Struthio camelus: one gene and its partner. The protein of the gene in region 2 purifies or fractionates together with the protein of the main gene of each other region. This does not show direct contact. Links are inferred from orthologs where the notes say so. Each region holds a gene or a part of one and is shown on either strand. Other genes may lie near its edges.

Region 1 (7,108 bases), on a different chromosome or scaffold from region 2:
GCTGAATTCTGTGGCACGCTAAAAATCCTGAATTTGTAAATCCATTTTAAACTGCCAATTTTGTTTTTGCTTTTTGTCTTCAGGTGTTCTTAAAAAAATAACTTCATTTCAGGAAGAAAAAAAAAACCGCCATCTTTTCAGATTTTTGCTAACTGTTTGAATGTGTGCTTTGGGACAAGAGTAATTGAATTCTGTAATAGTTGTGATGTAAGTACCTCTGGCTTAAATATATTTTCCATACGTTTTCAGGTTATTGCCCATTTCTGATCTATGGCAAGGATCCCACGTTTCCTGTTCGTGGTTCTTGGGAAGGGCAGCCATGGCTACCAATGAAGAACAGGTATATGACCAAAAAAAAGATGGGGGCGAGGATGTGACTTAAATATGCCTGGGAAACTCACTGGCTTGAGAGCAACTCCAAAAAGCGTGCAATCTACCAATTAAACTTCCCTGGAAGACTGAAGAAATGCAAGTAGGCAAAAAATCATTTTCAGTAAATATGCTTCTGGTACTAGTGAAGTAAGAAGGTAAATTCCTTAAGCAATATGAGGAGTGTGATGAGAAGGGTTCTGTGGCTAAGATGAGTTTCATGTGACTCTCATCTGAAATTCTGAAGTCAGCCATAAAACTAGCATCCACTGTTGTCAGACAAGCTACCAAGGTTGTTCTTTCAACTCTTGTCAGCTAGAACACAGTGACTTACGTGTATATTTTTATGGCATATATATATTACTTGATTTTTTCTGTTTGTTTGTTTCACATTTAAATAGTCTGGCCTAAAATTTGTCCAGCATTTTTAATCAGAGGTTCTTTTATGCACGTTGCTCACTGTGACTGTAGTAACACTCAGCAACTCACTGTGCAGATGAGTTCAAGTAGAACCAAACGTACACAAGACTGCATACTGAAAAAGTTCAATCTCTACTAAACGTAGAGCACCAGGATAATTCTCCCAAAGACATTATTCTGTTTTCACTTCTGTTTGAAATAATAAACAAGAAGAATTACTCATTTAGCACTGACTTTCTTCTAAAAACAAGTTGCAAAAGGTGAGGAGAAACTTGTGCAAGTAATCTTCGTTTGAAATATCTTGTAGGGTTTTATTCAAAACACAAAATAGAATTTTATTTTTGGACAAGGCTTATATTAAAAACTCCATAATTGTGACAGAGAAATGTCCTTCTAAAAGACAGAAATTAAAAACAAAACACTTGCATGCAATTCAATCAATTCATGTTTATGCTGATGTACGTATCTTTGCTTTGTAAGTATCGCTCTCAAACTGAGTTGTAGTACATGGAGCAGTGGGATACTATACTTTGTTCCTAAACTGTTTCTGCTACAGTTTGTGACAAGGTGAGCTTTGAATATGTTTTGATGATTGCTCTCGAAACACAAAAAGCCCAAAAGACTTTTGTTCTCATGCTCCTTAAAACAAGTATGTAACCCTATAAACTGATGATCCATACCTAGATTGTCAAACCATAATTTTTCTTTAAATATCGCTAGCCAGATTACTTTTATAATCAGATGAAGTCTGATGTAAATCATGTATTGCACAGCCAGTCAATAATATTTTATGTTTAGATGTCATACATATGTATTAAACTTACCAGATTCTGCAAGAGCCCTTTTTTACTTTGAGGTTTATTATCATTTTATTATTTGATATTAATATAACTTTATATGGCTAATATATGCTCATTCATTATAGTTTTGGATATATAATTCTAAAAGGAGTAAAAATAAATGAAGGTAAAATGCTATGAAAATGTAAACTTGAAGGTTGTACATAGATTTTTTTTTTAAATATAAATTATACTTGAAGAACACAAATTAAAAAGCATTTATCTTATGCAATAGTGGTTCTTATGGCACACATTAATCTGAGCGGGTGAAGTTATTTCCACAGGGGTTTTGAGCTATTCCTATCAAATGCTAGAGATGCTGATGACTTGATGGAAAAAAAAAATTGGGGTTTTGCTATCCTAATCTTACCATTCTGGATCTGTCAAAAAGCTTGAATTCTTAAAAAGCTAGGTTTGTTTGACACTCCACACAAATAATTACTGCTAGAAAGCTGAAAAGGTAAGATGGACTGTTAGGAAGGTAAGATTTCTTTTCCTGGTACATTTGAAAAAAAGGAAGGCTATTACAGAATACTCTCTGTGCTTAAACTGTTAATGAAACCTCCTTGTTATTAGTTCCTCCTCTATTTTATTACATTGAGATATTTAGGTAAGTGGTTTTTGTAAAGATCTGTGTTGGTGCAGTTGTTACTGTGTTTGTTTTTAAACTGTGCCAACACAGAAACTGCCATGTTGGGTCTAACTAACAATCCACTAATACCCTCTCTCCAATATATGTCAGTGCTTTTTGCCCTATAATTGTAACGGCTCTTTTGATGATAAATTAACTTGGTCAAATTGTTTTTTTGCCTCTGTTCATTTTAGGATATGACTAGTGAACATGCACAAAACTTCCTTTTTCACTCACTTTAGTCTACTGCATCTTCCTTTTCTATGCACCTTTTCTAATCCAGTTCATAAATGCTACTGAAGCAGTCATTATAAGAGAAGAAGAGGCCGCTGCGTTTTAAAAAGGGAAAAAGTCAGGCACTTTGTTATGTTTGGTCTGTTTAAGTGACTGAACAAGATTTGTGTGTTATCTGTGTTCTTGAAATGCTGCAAAAAAGATGGGGAAAAAGCAAGTTCCGTGTGTGACTCTTATTTATCTAGCTCTCCAGAACTTAACAAAACACATCCGTGATAATAAATCTTTATCTTTCATGATAGCCACTTTCGTGGTACCTTTAAACCCTTGCAAGTGTTTGGCTTTCTCTTAATTGTTCTAGTTTTCATATACTTAAGTAGAAAAATATTTGTGAAAAAGAAAAAAAAAATCATAACTTAAACCTCCACAAGCTACCTACTCTTTGGAGAATCATTAATGTTCTGAGCAGAGAGGTTATTTGAGAAGCCATTAAGATTCCAAGTTATTTTAAATGCTTCTCTCATCAGTCTGGCCTGGATTTCCTTGTTTTCTTGTAAACCTAGTTGAAATGGTTTAATTTGCCAGATGTTGCCGGAGATATTTTTATTCCATCTTCCTGAATGTCTTTCTGTTTGTACCACTTAACAAATGAGTTTTCTATCAGTTTCTCCACCATACTCCTATATCCAGGTAACAAACGTTAAAGATCTAAGATTTGGTCCCTATATATTCTTATAGCTTATGCTTAGTGTGTTCCTTCTCCCAGCACGTAGGAAGCAATTCACTTAGGCACAGATGCAAGTTCGTGAGAGCAGGAGTTGTTCTTCATTGTGAATCCCCCAACAGTCTATTTTTGCTTTTCTTTAAGGGCACAGAATGACACAGGTCTGATAAGATGATTAAGAGTCTTAGGCTGGTTAGGCACTTGCATGCGAGGTCTCCAAAGGAAAATAGTACTCTGCAAGTTTTGCTGGCAGTGTTCCCACGACGTGGGAGCTATAATGATTTTCAGCCTGCCTACGCGCTTTTAGGGGTCGACAGATTACTGCTAGATAATTCTGCAAAAGGCAACCTCCCTTCCCAAGTGTGTGTACCCTCGCTACTTATAAGGATGCTCGGTATTTATATCGATACAAGCTTAGCTCTATTAATCGCCGTGAACTAGACGGACGTTCTGGTAGGGGCAGTCAGGTTTCCTAGGCTCCCTGACGGCCTTCCGTGCCGGATGAGGCCGGGGAAGGCCTGGGCAGACAGGGGCCTGCTCTGGAGGCCGGCCCGCACCGCGGGGCAGCAAAGGTGTGAGCTTCCCGCTTATCCCCTCAGCGCCCGTCTCAGCGCGAGGGTCCTTCCTCTAGGGTTACCTGGGGGGGAAAATGAGGGCGGCGTCCCTCAGCGATGGCTCGGCAGCCTTCTCTGCTGCTTTACCTACTGTGAGGCTTAGGGCTGCAAAGTCTTGCTAGTCGCTCTGCCTTCGCAGAAACAACGCTCCGGCCCCCGGCTGCTTCGGGCCGCCGGCGCGGGCACCAACCACCGCCGCCGCCGCCGCCGCCGCCGCCGCCGGGCGGGACTCGGCACCCGCCCCGCCTCGCCGGCTCCCCCTGGCGGGGCGCCGCGCCGCGCCTTCCGGCCGCCGGCGTTTCCGCTGCCGGGTGAGGCGATGGCGGCGGGCGGCAGCGACCCGCGGGCGGCTGACGTGGAGGAGGACGCCTCGCAGCTGGTCTTCCCCAAAGGTGCGCGCCGCGGGGCGGGCGGCCTGTGCGTGCCCGCCCGCCAGGGGGGCCGGAGCCGCGCGGCCGTTGGAGCCGCGCGGCCGTTGGAGCCGCGCGGCCGTTGGAGCCGCGCGGCCGTTGGAGCCGCGCGGCCGTTGGAGCCGCGCGGCCGTTGGAGCCGCGCGGCCCCTCTGAGCGGCTGACTCCCCGTTTCCCAGCAGGGATCCCTGCGACGGGGGCTGGAGCTCGCTGATTAGCCCCAGCTCTGCTCAGCCTCCAGATTTCCCCACTTCTTGTTGCATAGCCCCAAACCAAACGTTAAGAAGCAGGGATAAATAAATATGTATTTACAGAACCTGAGGTAAAATATACATATTTGTGGGAGCTAGCATGGCTAGGATAACGTTTTTCTTATTTACGTGCCTCATTGAACATGTATGCGAGAGTAAAAGATGCTTCTCTGTTTTGGGTTGTAGTTAAAAGGTCCTTGATTTTTGGTGTGACTGTCAGTTTGTCTTTAATGTGTCTTGACGTAAAGAGATTGTTTTACTTTGGAAATCTCCTGTGTAGAGCTTGAATTGTAACTAATGATCTTTTCACAGTCTGTGTAATTTTTTTGAGAAAACTGTTCTGGAGCTGTGTTTGCTCCTCGGACATGTCCTGGAAGAGGAAAAATTGCAGATACGCTGCTTATCTGAGTTAGGAAGAAAAGGGTAGTCCTGGCGGACTTTTATTTTGTGTATTTTCCCACTAAAAGCTACATCCTACCCATGACTGGCCTGTGACATTCCCACCCTGCGCAAAAAAAAAAAAAAAAAAAAAAAGGTGCCAGTTCCTTTCTGGTCGTTTTTACCAAAAAAAAAAAAAAAAAAAGCCTTGAGAAGGCACTCTGCAATGCCATCCCCGATCCTGCTGCTTTGAACAGCTCGTATTGCTGATGGACAGCAACGTAATAAAAGATCTTACTGTTGGAATAAATATACTGATGATTATGATGATGATGAGCCAAACTAAGGAGAGCTGAGCTACTAAAAAGGGGGAAAAAATCTGTTAAGATAGGTTAAAACTTTTTTCTGTTAATACAGAATTTCAGTGGGTCAATTAGGATTTCAAGGAAATGAAACCTTTTTGAAAAATGTTCAGCAGCATCCATGTTTAATTAAGAACTGCATGGAGGCCTTCCGAGACCATAAATGCCACTTCTGATTTTTCTGCATATTCTAAATATTTTTTCCTAAAGCAAGTAATACGTTGCTTAAGTTCTACCAAGAAATGAGTGAAGAGAACACGTTGCAAAACCGTACAAATCCGGTGGTTATGGCTGTGAATGTAAAACATGCGGCCAGAAAGACAAACATCACGCAAAATGCTGTAATTTTTATCTTCATATTCATTATGAAATACAGTCCAATTATTGATGCAAAGGCCTTGCTCAATTACAGTGAAACACATTGTTCGTTTTCTTACTGTCCAAAACTAGATTTGCATACAAAACTTCTATAAATGGACATTTTCATCCATGCTTTTTCTTATTTTCTGCTGGTGTTCACTCATTCACGTGAAGAATTTGAAACTGCGGAAACTCTTCTGAATTCAGAAGTACATATGCTTCTGGAGCATCGGAAGCAACAGAATGAAAGTGCAGAAGATGAGCAGGAGCTCTCAGAAGTGTTCATGAAAACTTTGAATTACACAGCCCGCTTCAGCCGCTTCAAAAACCGTGAAACCATTGCCAGTGTTCGCAGGTGAGTGGAGGAGTTAGGATACAGGATTATACTGGGGACTTTGATACGTTATGTTGGTGCTGCTTTATGAAAGTACAGTTTAGTGGTGTTTTCTGATTTGGACTTCTATATCTTGTTTTTCTGGAGAGGCAAGAAACTCGATCTTTGTAGAGAGTTTTACTTGGTCTAAGGTCAGGCCTTCTGAGTGGCTTTGATATCAGTATTTAAATGACAGCAGATTGGAATAAATGAAAATATTTTCTGGACTACATGGAGAATAATTCTGTGGAATTGGGGTTAATGGCTGTGATATTTTTTCTATGTTCAGTTATGCCCTTTTATCTTTTTTATTTTTAATCTTACCTGTAATTTCACCACCTTGTTGTCTTTACCTACAGTTTGCTGCTCCAGAAAAAGCTCCATAAATTTGAATTAGCATGTTTGGCTAACCTGTGTCCTGAGACAGCTGAAGAAGCCAAAGCTTTGATTCCTAGGTGAGCGTTTAGATAGGCTGAAGAGACCGCCTTATAGTTTGCTGTGGTGTAAGGCTAGCTATGGACAGATACCTTCTCTTCGGTCCATCTGTGTCAATGGAACAACCAACTCGTTGTCCCCATCTGTATTCACCTCCCCGTTGATCTGTTGGAGGGGTAATCTTTTAAGTGTCCCTAATATAGTGAAGATAAATGCCGACTGGACTAAGCGTAAACAATTTTAGTGGAGGTTTTTAGCCTACCCGGATATTTTTTTATTTCCTTGAAGCGAACGACACAGTGCTCCCGTGGACTGTTCTGTGGATAATGTACAAGTCAGACAGCGACTTCTTCCATTCTCCTGTCTTGTTTTTCTAGCTTATAGCCTGAGCTACAGGAAGAAGTGAAACATTAATCTGAATTATTGTTTCCTCCCATGTAAGCTAAGATTTCATAGTCAGCTGGACTGGTTTATGAGTGTAAGGCTACATGGACTTCATTCAGAGATTTGTTTAAACCTTCACCTGCCTTGCCTTTTTGATAAAATGATTTGAAATTGTTCAGCAAAACGTTATGGAAAAGATAGCGTTTGCTAATTTAGAGAGGAGGCACGATATAGGGCTTAGAGCGATATCTGTTCAGTAATGTTACAGAGGGTGCCTCGTGGGCACCATAAAGGTGGGTAATGATGGCGTGGAGACTTACAGGA
Region 2 (7,868 bases):
TAAGTAGTATAGTTGTAGCAGTTTGCCCTCATTTTTTCCCCCCAAAGGGAAAAGGCTGAATAAGGGAATATATAATACCAGATACCTTGAGTGGCTTCCCAAACGAGACAGTATTTAAGCAGTTTATTTCTTATAGGTGTCCTTTGAAATAAAGGTCATACATGTAAACTCTAAACTAAGTGTGTGAAACTAAGTTATAAGTATGTTCTGCATCAATTACTAGAAGAGATCTCAAGCGCTAAATGCATCTGTACAATTAAAACAGGGCTTAACGCAGTGGTTAAAACAAAGATGAACAATTGGTGCAGAAGATGACTTCTGATAGCAAGCAGGTACCAAGAACCTGGGGAAAAGATTACTCTGAACAACTAAACTCAACACAGATAGGGCAATTTATTTTTTATTTTGTTAAAGCAGGACATCAGAGTTACTCCAGCTCTGTATGCACTTCAAAGACCTTTACAGTTACATTGGGATATCCACAGAAGAGAAACAGCTTGTATTAGAGAACATATCAGTGAAGCTTAAATTCAAATCATCCCAAATTAAAGCACTACAGAGAATAGTCTTCCCTCTCCTCACCCTCACAAAACTGGATTGGCCTTCTGCACACGTGAGGGTATCAGGGCAGTTTTCACCCTTACTCCCCTCCAGAAACATGCACATATACACAGCAACAATTATATTGGAAAAGTCTGAATGAAATCCAGGCCTCACAGCTTGTCTTTCTTGGTAAACAAGGAAGTCAATCACAATAATGAATACTTTTAAGTTTGAATGCAAGCACTTCTTTTAACACAAGAGTCTAAAAGGCCAGAAGAAAGGAGCTACAATTTTCTGCCAGTGCTAACAGCACTGCGGCTCAAAGCTGCATTAACTTCTTACTGCAGGAAAAGATTATCAGAGCAGTTTCTTATACTTTCACATTGGGACTCGAGTCAGATTCAATTCAGAATTTACTTTTAAAAGTGTTCAAGATTTAAGTTTTTTGTTCCCTTCATGAAAACAGCAAGACAGGTAGTTTTATCTATTGTTTACCATCTATTCTACAGGCTTCAGAGAAAAAAAAAACCTCTGACATCTAAGTCTGCACCAACTAACCTCAGCTACGCCAGTCTCATTTGAGGAAGAGGTTAAAATGGAAGACAGCCCCCTGCCTACAGGCATTTCTAAACAATGGGGCGATTTTTCCACCACTAATTATTGCCCTGGATAAGTATCAAGTATGTAGAATTATAACTTAATATACACTACTCTTCAAGCATATGCGGCTACTGACCTGTCAGAAGCTCAGCAGAGCTGCTGGCTGATGCTCTACTTCCCTTTGCAGAGAATTGTCTAGTTATTTCTGAACCCCCTCGTCACAACCAAGCTGGAAGCACTCTTAGAGGCATCAGAAAATACAGCATTATTTAGCATTAATGGATGGGGAAAGGGAGAAGTATCCATCATAAAATATATCTCCTGGTTACTTACAGCCACAGTGTTTTAGAAAGTAACACCAGAGGTAGGAGAACCAGGGCTGCCAACAGCTTTAAAGTTAAAAGAAGCCACAGATCTCTTAAGAGTTTTATTAAACTAGGTAGGTGCTCAGTCTAATGTCAAGTGAAAAGACTGCAGCCACCAAGAGAACCCAGAGCAAACAGAATTCATGAAGTATACAGACATCTCACTAAGAACCGAGTTAAAGTACTGCAAACTTGAATAACTTTGACATTTAAAAGCCCACAATTGCCATTACAATTCGTTACTGTTACTAGAACATGTAATGCTCCTGCTCACGACAGATGTACATCATAGTAGATTACTCAAGAAATTACAAGGTCAGGGTGATTTTTCTTCAGTTTTCATGCCACACACAGGCTGCTCTAGAACGTTTCCAAACTGCAAGAACTTTATTAGCTACTTCAAGATTGCAATACACATCTAATACCGAATATAGTTATTAAGAGGAAAGAAGTATGACTTTAATAGAGTCAAAACCTTGTTTTATATACCCAGCCTCCTGGAACTGCCATTCAGTGCGACGCACCCTTAGCTGTGCCCGCCCCCCCCCCCCAAAAAGCCACAGATGGTCAAGCCAAACCCACCTTTGCATCCTGCTGTAGTGACTTTTGAGCTAAGATTTAGCAATCTGACAGATTGCAGACTCCGCAGTCCTCTCCCAGAAACAAACGCCTAAGCGGAAAACTGCTTTAACATGCCAAAAACCTTAAATGGATTAAATAACACTTCAGATAACCGCAACTTACAGGTGAAACCCACTTACAGGTGAAGCAAACGCCGACTTCTGCGCTCACGCTACATCCCAGAGCCAGCGGATAAGCTCATTAGCGCCGTGCGGAGAGGGATAAAGGCGAGGAGCGAGCCTGCCCTGCGCCAGAGCCGCCAAACCACCGTCCGGCGCCTCCAGGCGCCCCGGTACGGCCGGCCGGGGGGGGCCCCGGGCCCGAGGAACAGGTGGGCGCCGCGGAGGGTCCCGGCGAGCGGCGGCGGGAGCCGGCCCAGAGCCCCCTGCAGGCCGCGCCCGAGCCGCGGCCTGGCGTCGGGAGGCCGCCGGGCCGCACGCCGCATGGCCGGGCAGCGGCAGCCGGCCCGGGGCGGGGGGGAGCGGCGGAAGGACGCGGCCCCCCGGCAGCGGAGAGACCGCCGGTTCCGGTACCGGCCCCGCCGCGCGGAGCAGCGAGGCGCCGCGGGACCCCCGGCGGGCACGGCGCCGGCGGAGCTCCCCGCTGCCGCCCGCAGCGGAGGCTTCCGGTGCCCGGGGAGGAGCCGCGCCGCAGCCGGGGTCCCGGCGGGCGGGCGGAGGCGGCGGCCGCGCGGCCCACGAGCCGCGGCGGGACCCCCCGGGCGGGAGGGGGGCTGCCCGCGGCCGGCGTCCCCCGCGCTGCCGGCACCCGAGCGGCGGGCGCGGCGGGCCGTACTCACGTTGCTCTGCGGGTCGATGGCCTGCAGCAGCCGGTCCCTGATCTGCTGCGGGGAGGGCGCCGGAGCCGCTGTCATTGCCTGGGCGAAGCGGGGCGGCTGCGGCCGGGGCGGGCGGGCGGCGGGGCCGGGCCGGGCCGGGGCGGCGGCTCCTCACTCGCCGGCGGCGGCGGCGGCGGCCTCCTCGGGGAGCCGGAGTGGCATGATCGCTCCCCGCCAGGCGGGGGAGGGGGGGGGAGCGGCGCGCGGGGCGGGGCGGGGCGCGGGGGGGCCGCGGCGGCGCGACCGGGCCGGGCCCGACTGTTCCGCTCGGGGCCGAACTCAACTGTGGGCAGGAGCCAGCCCCGCGCAGGGCACCATGGGACACGCCCGACGCCGTTACGCACGGCGCGCCTCTGACGTCTGCCGCCGTACGGCGCACGCAGCGGCGGGCACGCATGCGCCGCGGCGGCGGGGGTGGCGGTGCAGCGCATGCGCAGTCGGCCGCGAGGTGCCTGTCGGGGGGAAGGGGGGGGCCGGCCCGGCGACGGGAGCCGTCCGGGGCGGGGGGGGGAAGAAGCGCGTGGCGGGGCCTGGTCTGGCCGCCGTCTCGAACCGGTGCGGCGGTTGGGGGCAGCCCCCGCTCCCCCCCCCCCCGGCAACCGGCGCCCCCGCAGCGCAGGGGAACGAAGCACAGGACACCCTCGGGACGCCAAGGCGTTTATTTGCAAAGGTTTGAATAGTCCCTGCTCTGTCAGCACTTCTGGGAGTCATCGTCTACAAGAGGCAGTTCCTAGATGTCCGATGTGAAGACACGTTTTAGATATATATTCATTTCTCCTGCATCTATGTACTTGAAGAATTAACCTTAAGAGATGTAGCCCAAGAGTCAGTGTTGGGTATCAGAGAAAACCCACTCTCAGCAGCTACTGTTCAGTACCGTGTAAATCTGTACACAGCTTAGGTCCAACTGAAAGATGGAAATAAACAAAAAAATACTTCCTCTTCTGCAGTGTACCGTTTAAAAAAAAATGCTTTTACTGCTTTCCTCACCCATGCTGTCTCTTAGCATCTCTTCCTAGGGCCATTACTCAGCTATTAAAGACACAAGGCAAACGCACACATTTTGAGGCCTTAGTTTATGCTTGCAGGAAGGTGATACACACTCCTACTTGCTTGTGAAAAGTCAAATGTGTTCTGAAAGAAATGATTTCCAATTCCAAACTCACAAAAGACTAAGAGAAGTTTTTGCCTAGTAGAGGAACTTCAGATTTTCATTATTTTCAAAACAACGGGTGAGGTAACTCTGACATTACATACAAACTATACATAGATAAACTTACAATTGCTATGTGGAAAGAGCTAAGCCTACAAAATCTTAACAAATACCGTTCTGTTCAAAGACATATTTAACTTGTCTCTTCTACTGCCTCTCCTTGATTCTGAAGAAAGCACAAGTTAGGTTTTTAGAAGCTTATCATACGTAATTGGACTGAGTACAAAAGCAAATGTACAAGATTTTGTACTGATGGACATCGGACGTGACAATTGGTAAGCAGTCAGCCCTTCCACAGCATTTAAGAGCAGTTCCAAATTAACTACTCTCGTCATTTCTAAAGCAGTTGGATGGGAGCAGAACGACTACCTTTGAACTTCTGTTCTTCTGAAGAACTGAAATTTTGGGGTGACAGCACTCAGTATTAATCTGCATTATCTATTTGGAGCTTTAAAATTGTGTATTTTCCTTTACCAGTAGAGTTTGATCATCCTCCATTCCCTGTGTTCGCCATATTCAAAGGGTCACTCAGAAAGCGGAATATGAGTTCTGCACAGGAACAACCATTTTTCTGAGTGAGAATTAAAACCCAGAGTCTGAAAATGAGACCCGAGTGCTTCTCTGCTGACTATAAGGGCCCTCTAGTGGCTTAGGCATAAAACTGATAAAAACTTCTTACAATCTCTGCCATGTACATTTCACTGAGGAAGACTCAGCTGAATGAACGTTAGGGAGAAAATGCTTTCCAAGGATTATATAAAGCAGTGGACTTGTCTGGATGCCATCTCACAGATACCATGACAAGAACAGCACATTACTCTCTTTTACTCATTAAAAATACATTAGAAAAGAGTTAAGGTATAAAATACAAAAATTACACACAAGACATCTCCTATAATTTAGCCGAAGATTGTAAATGCTTCTGTGCAATACAAACCTCTCTTGAAGGATCCTTTTCTCCATATATTCGTCTATGTTCATGACTGCGAGGCATCCCCAAAAGAGCGGATGAACACTTTGAACACTTCAGGTAATACAAAAATGCATCACTGGAGTGAACTGCTGCGAGCAGATGACACCTGTGTGCTGACTACTTGGCTGCATCCAGATAAAATTCAAGGTATTGGTTAAAACCAAGCCTCGGTTTAAAATCTTGAGGCCTCTCTTTCTTCTCAACAGTTACATAGCTGAAGAAATTGAGGCTGAGAAAGTTCCACTAATAGTTTTCACTTTGTTTTAAAAGATAACCAGCACTGCACTCTGTCAAGTTATTTTGGTGATGCTGGGGGAAAGTTATGAGTCAAAGAGGCTAACAACATAAATAAATACCATCAAAAGCCAGTCACAGTTGCAACACAGACTAGTTAAAATTTCTCAGAAACATTGATACTGAATTGATTTCTCATGCAGTAGAATGAACACGGACATCAAACACATTTTTACCCATGAATAGAACCTCTATATTCAACCAAATCCAAAATGATTCCAAAACTGTTCCTTAGGGTTGGCATATAGAACAATTTCTGCAATTTTTCTATTCAACTCCTCCTACGTTTTGTTTAGGAAAAAAACACCATCTTTGAAATTTTAATTTAAAAAGCATTTTGTTGGAAAAAATAAAGAGAATCACATGTTTTTCATCATCTTTGTGTATTTCTCAAACAAACTAAATGTAACAGTGAGGAAAAAATGGACGCTGTTTTCAAACTTAAAACAGTATAATACTTTGCTCAACTTTATAAAAATGAGAATAAAGAAGTGAGATTTCAAGTAACCTAGACAATCATGACATTGGCAGACACGTCAAGAGCTGGGAATGACTAAAACTGCACAGTTTTAAGTCTGTGGTCTTCCATTATGCTGCAATTCTACACTGAATACTAAGCACCATACTCTAAGCCAACCAAAACAATTTAAAGTTCTCTATTTGAGTAACGTTGAAATGATTTTACTTTGAACATTTTGGCTCAGGAGCCTAAAGGCTTACTTCCCCAAGCAGCAAGCAAACCAGCATAAGCCATGTAATTATACGACTGACTGAAGAGGATGAACGTGTCCTGTCCCTTTAATATTTTAGAGCTTGTACTGAAGAACAAGCCACAATCCCAGGGCAGTATTTTGAAAGCATTATGGTCTTTTACTTTACAGAAAAGTTATGTTTCCAGCCAAAAGTCTCTTCCAAGTTAACAGACATGTTTGTGGATGACTTTCAAGATCCAAATAACCTAGTGGACGCAACAGAAAAAAGTAGATGAGAATTGGGTACAACCATTAATAGTCATAGCAACGCCATTCCAGCTGGGTGAAACACTAGCATACATCTGGGCATCAGTTCTGCCCTCCCATACATCAGAACATACAGCTACATAAGTGCAAAAGAGGAGATATTTGCTAGCCTGCCTATCAGGACTTACATCTGTGGTTTCCAGAGACTATTTGCAAAGCTGATTCCATTCTGCTACTTGGGAGGACTTTTACCGTTTTCTTAATTTTAGGGAGGGAAAAGTTACACTGAAATGCTGAACCAAATGATGATGCATCTAAGCAACACACAGCGAGAAACCCTATAACTAAGACTAAATGACTTACAAACCAGCAGAGAGATTTTTGTGTACTACAGGTTGAACGCATTAGCAAAAAAATTGTGGAGTCAGTCAAGTCTTTGAAGATCAAAGTAGACATAAGTAAAATGAAAAGTAGCTAAGGAACAAGTGGAGAGAGGGAGAGAGAGAGAGACAGAGAGACAGAGAGAGGGATAAGAAAAAAAGGTAGTTGCAGTAACTCCCCCCCCCCCAAGTATATAACTTTGGATAAACAAATGACAAGATGCTGCACAGCTCTACTTACACAATCATGCAGAACATCATGAAGACGTTCCACAAGGCAATGAAGATTCGAAAATATCTGAGACTCAGCAAGAACTCTCTGATGTTGTCACCTGAAAATCAGGAGAAGAAACTTTTGATGTGAAAAACGCCTTGTACATCAATAATTCACATTTTCAGCTGGAAAACACAAGCAACTCTCAGTTTAAAATAGAAGGAAAAAAAAAAAGTCAGTGAGCAAAAAAAGACAATTGAAAATTTAGGCAACAACGATCCATACTACATGTAGTACATCCCTACCATGAACTTCTGGGAAAATACGTGATAAAAAGAGGTCACTGTAGTATTAGAAAGAGAGGACAGTCCTTTGTGGTAGTCTGCAGCTTTCCTGTCACTTTAATCATTACAGCAGTAAGAGATACAAAGGAGCAACGCAGGTGCATGAACAGTGATATGGAAATCAGGCTGCAAGTACAGCATTACCTCTGCAGCACAGGCACCTAAGCTCAAGAATGCAAAAAGAAATATACATTTTTATGTTTCTTCTTGACTCACAGACTTGGGATTAACAGTTTTGGCTGTGGTGCCTAAACGTAAATGTCATCGAGTCAAATTTTAAGCCGCAATTTAGTAAACCAGTCATTCCAGCCACAGGGTAACTCCTGTTTGAACAAAACAGGGCAAACTTGTACTTTGGTGCCTTGAAAACGCTTTAAGCAAGAATTTTTCTGCGGAAAACGTCCCTTCCTGTATGTGCCTATATAATTTTGAGGCGAGAAACGCTCTTGTGAGTAACAGCGCGGCACTGGCAGTCACGCAGAGCCGGGCCCCCCGCCTTCCCAGGCCGGTTACCAGTCGTCGGC

What was found. Proteins that work in one complex are often made in the same cells at the same time.
Region 1: the proteins of MED26 (region 2) and POLR2D purify together in Homo sapiens (affinity purification with mass spectrometry; 3 studies listed by BioGRID and IntAct, with this or other methods). This does not show direct contact. The link is inferred for Struthio camelus from reciprocal best matches to the Homo sapiens genes MED26 and POLR2D.

What each region holds. Positions count from the first base shown.
Region 1 is NC_090950.1:6,489,232-6,496,339, reverse strand, and holds the start of POLR2D (DNA-directed RNA polymerase II subunit RPB4), read left to right. Parts: upstream 1-4,089; 5' UTR 4,090-4,150; coding exon 4,151-4,223; intron 4,224-5,766; coding exon 5,767-5,947; intron 5,948-6,324; coding exon 6,325-6,420; intron 6,421-7,108. UniProt on the Homo sapiens protein: Core component of RNA polymerase II (Pol II), a DNA-dependent RNA polymerase which synthesizes mRNA precursors and many functional non-coding RNAs using the four ribonucleoside triphosphates as substrates.
Region 2 is NC_090967.1:5,333,545-5,341,412, forward strand, and holds the start of MED26 (mediator of RNA polymerase II transcription subunit 26), read right to left. Parts: upstream 3,049-7,868; 5' UTR 3,004-3,048; coding exon 2,929-3,003; intron 2,400-2,928; exon of another isoform or gene 2,253-2,399; intron 1-2,252. Other genes in the region: SMIM7 (small integral membrane protein 7), read right to left, coding at 6,390-6,405, 7,028-7,118, 7,858-7,868. UniProt on the Homo sapiens protein: Component of the Mediator complex, a coactivator involved in the regulated transcription of nearly all RNA polymerase II-dependent genes.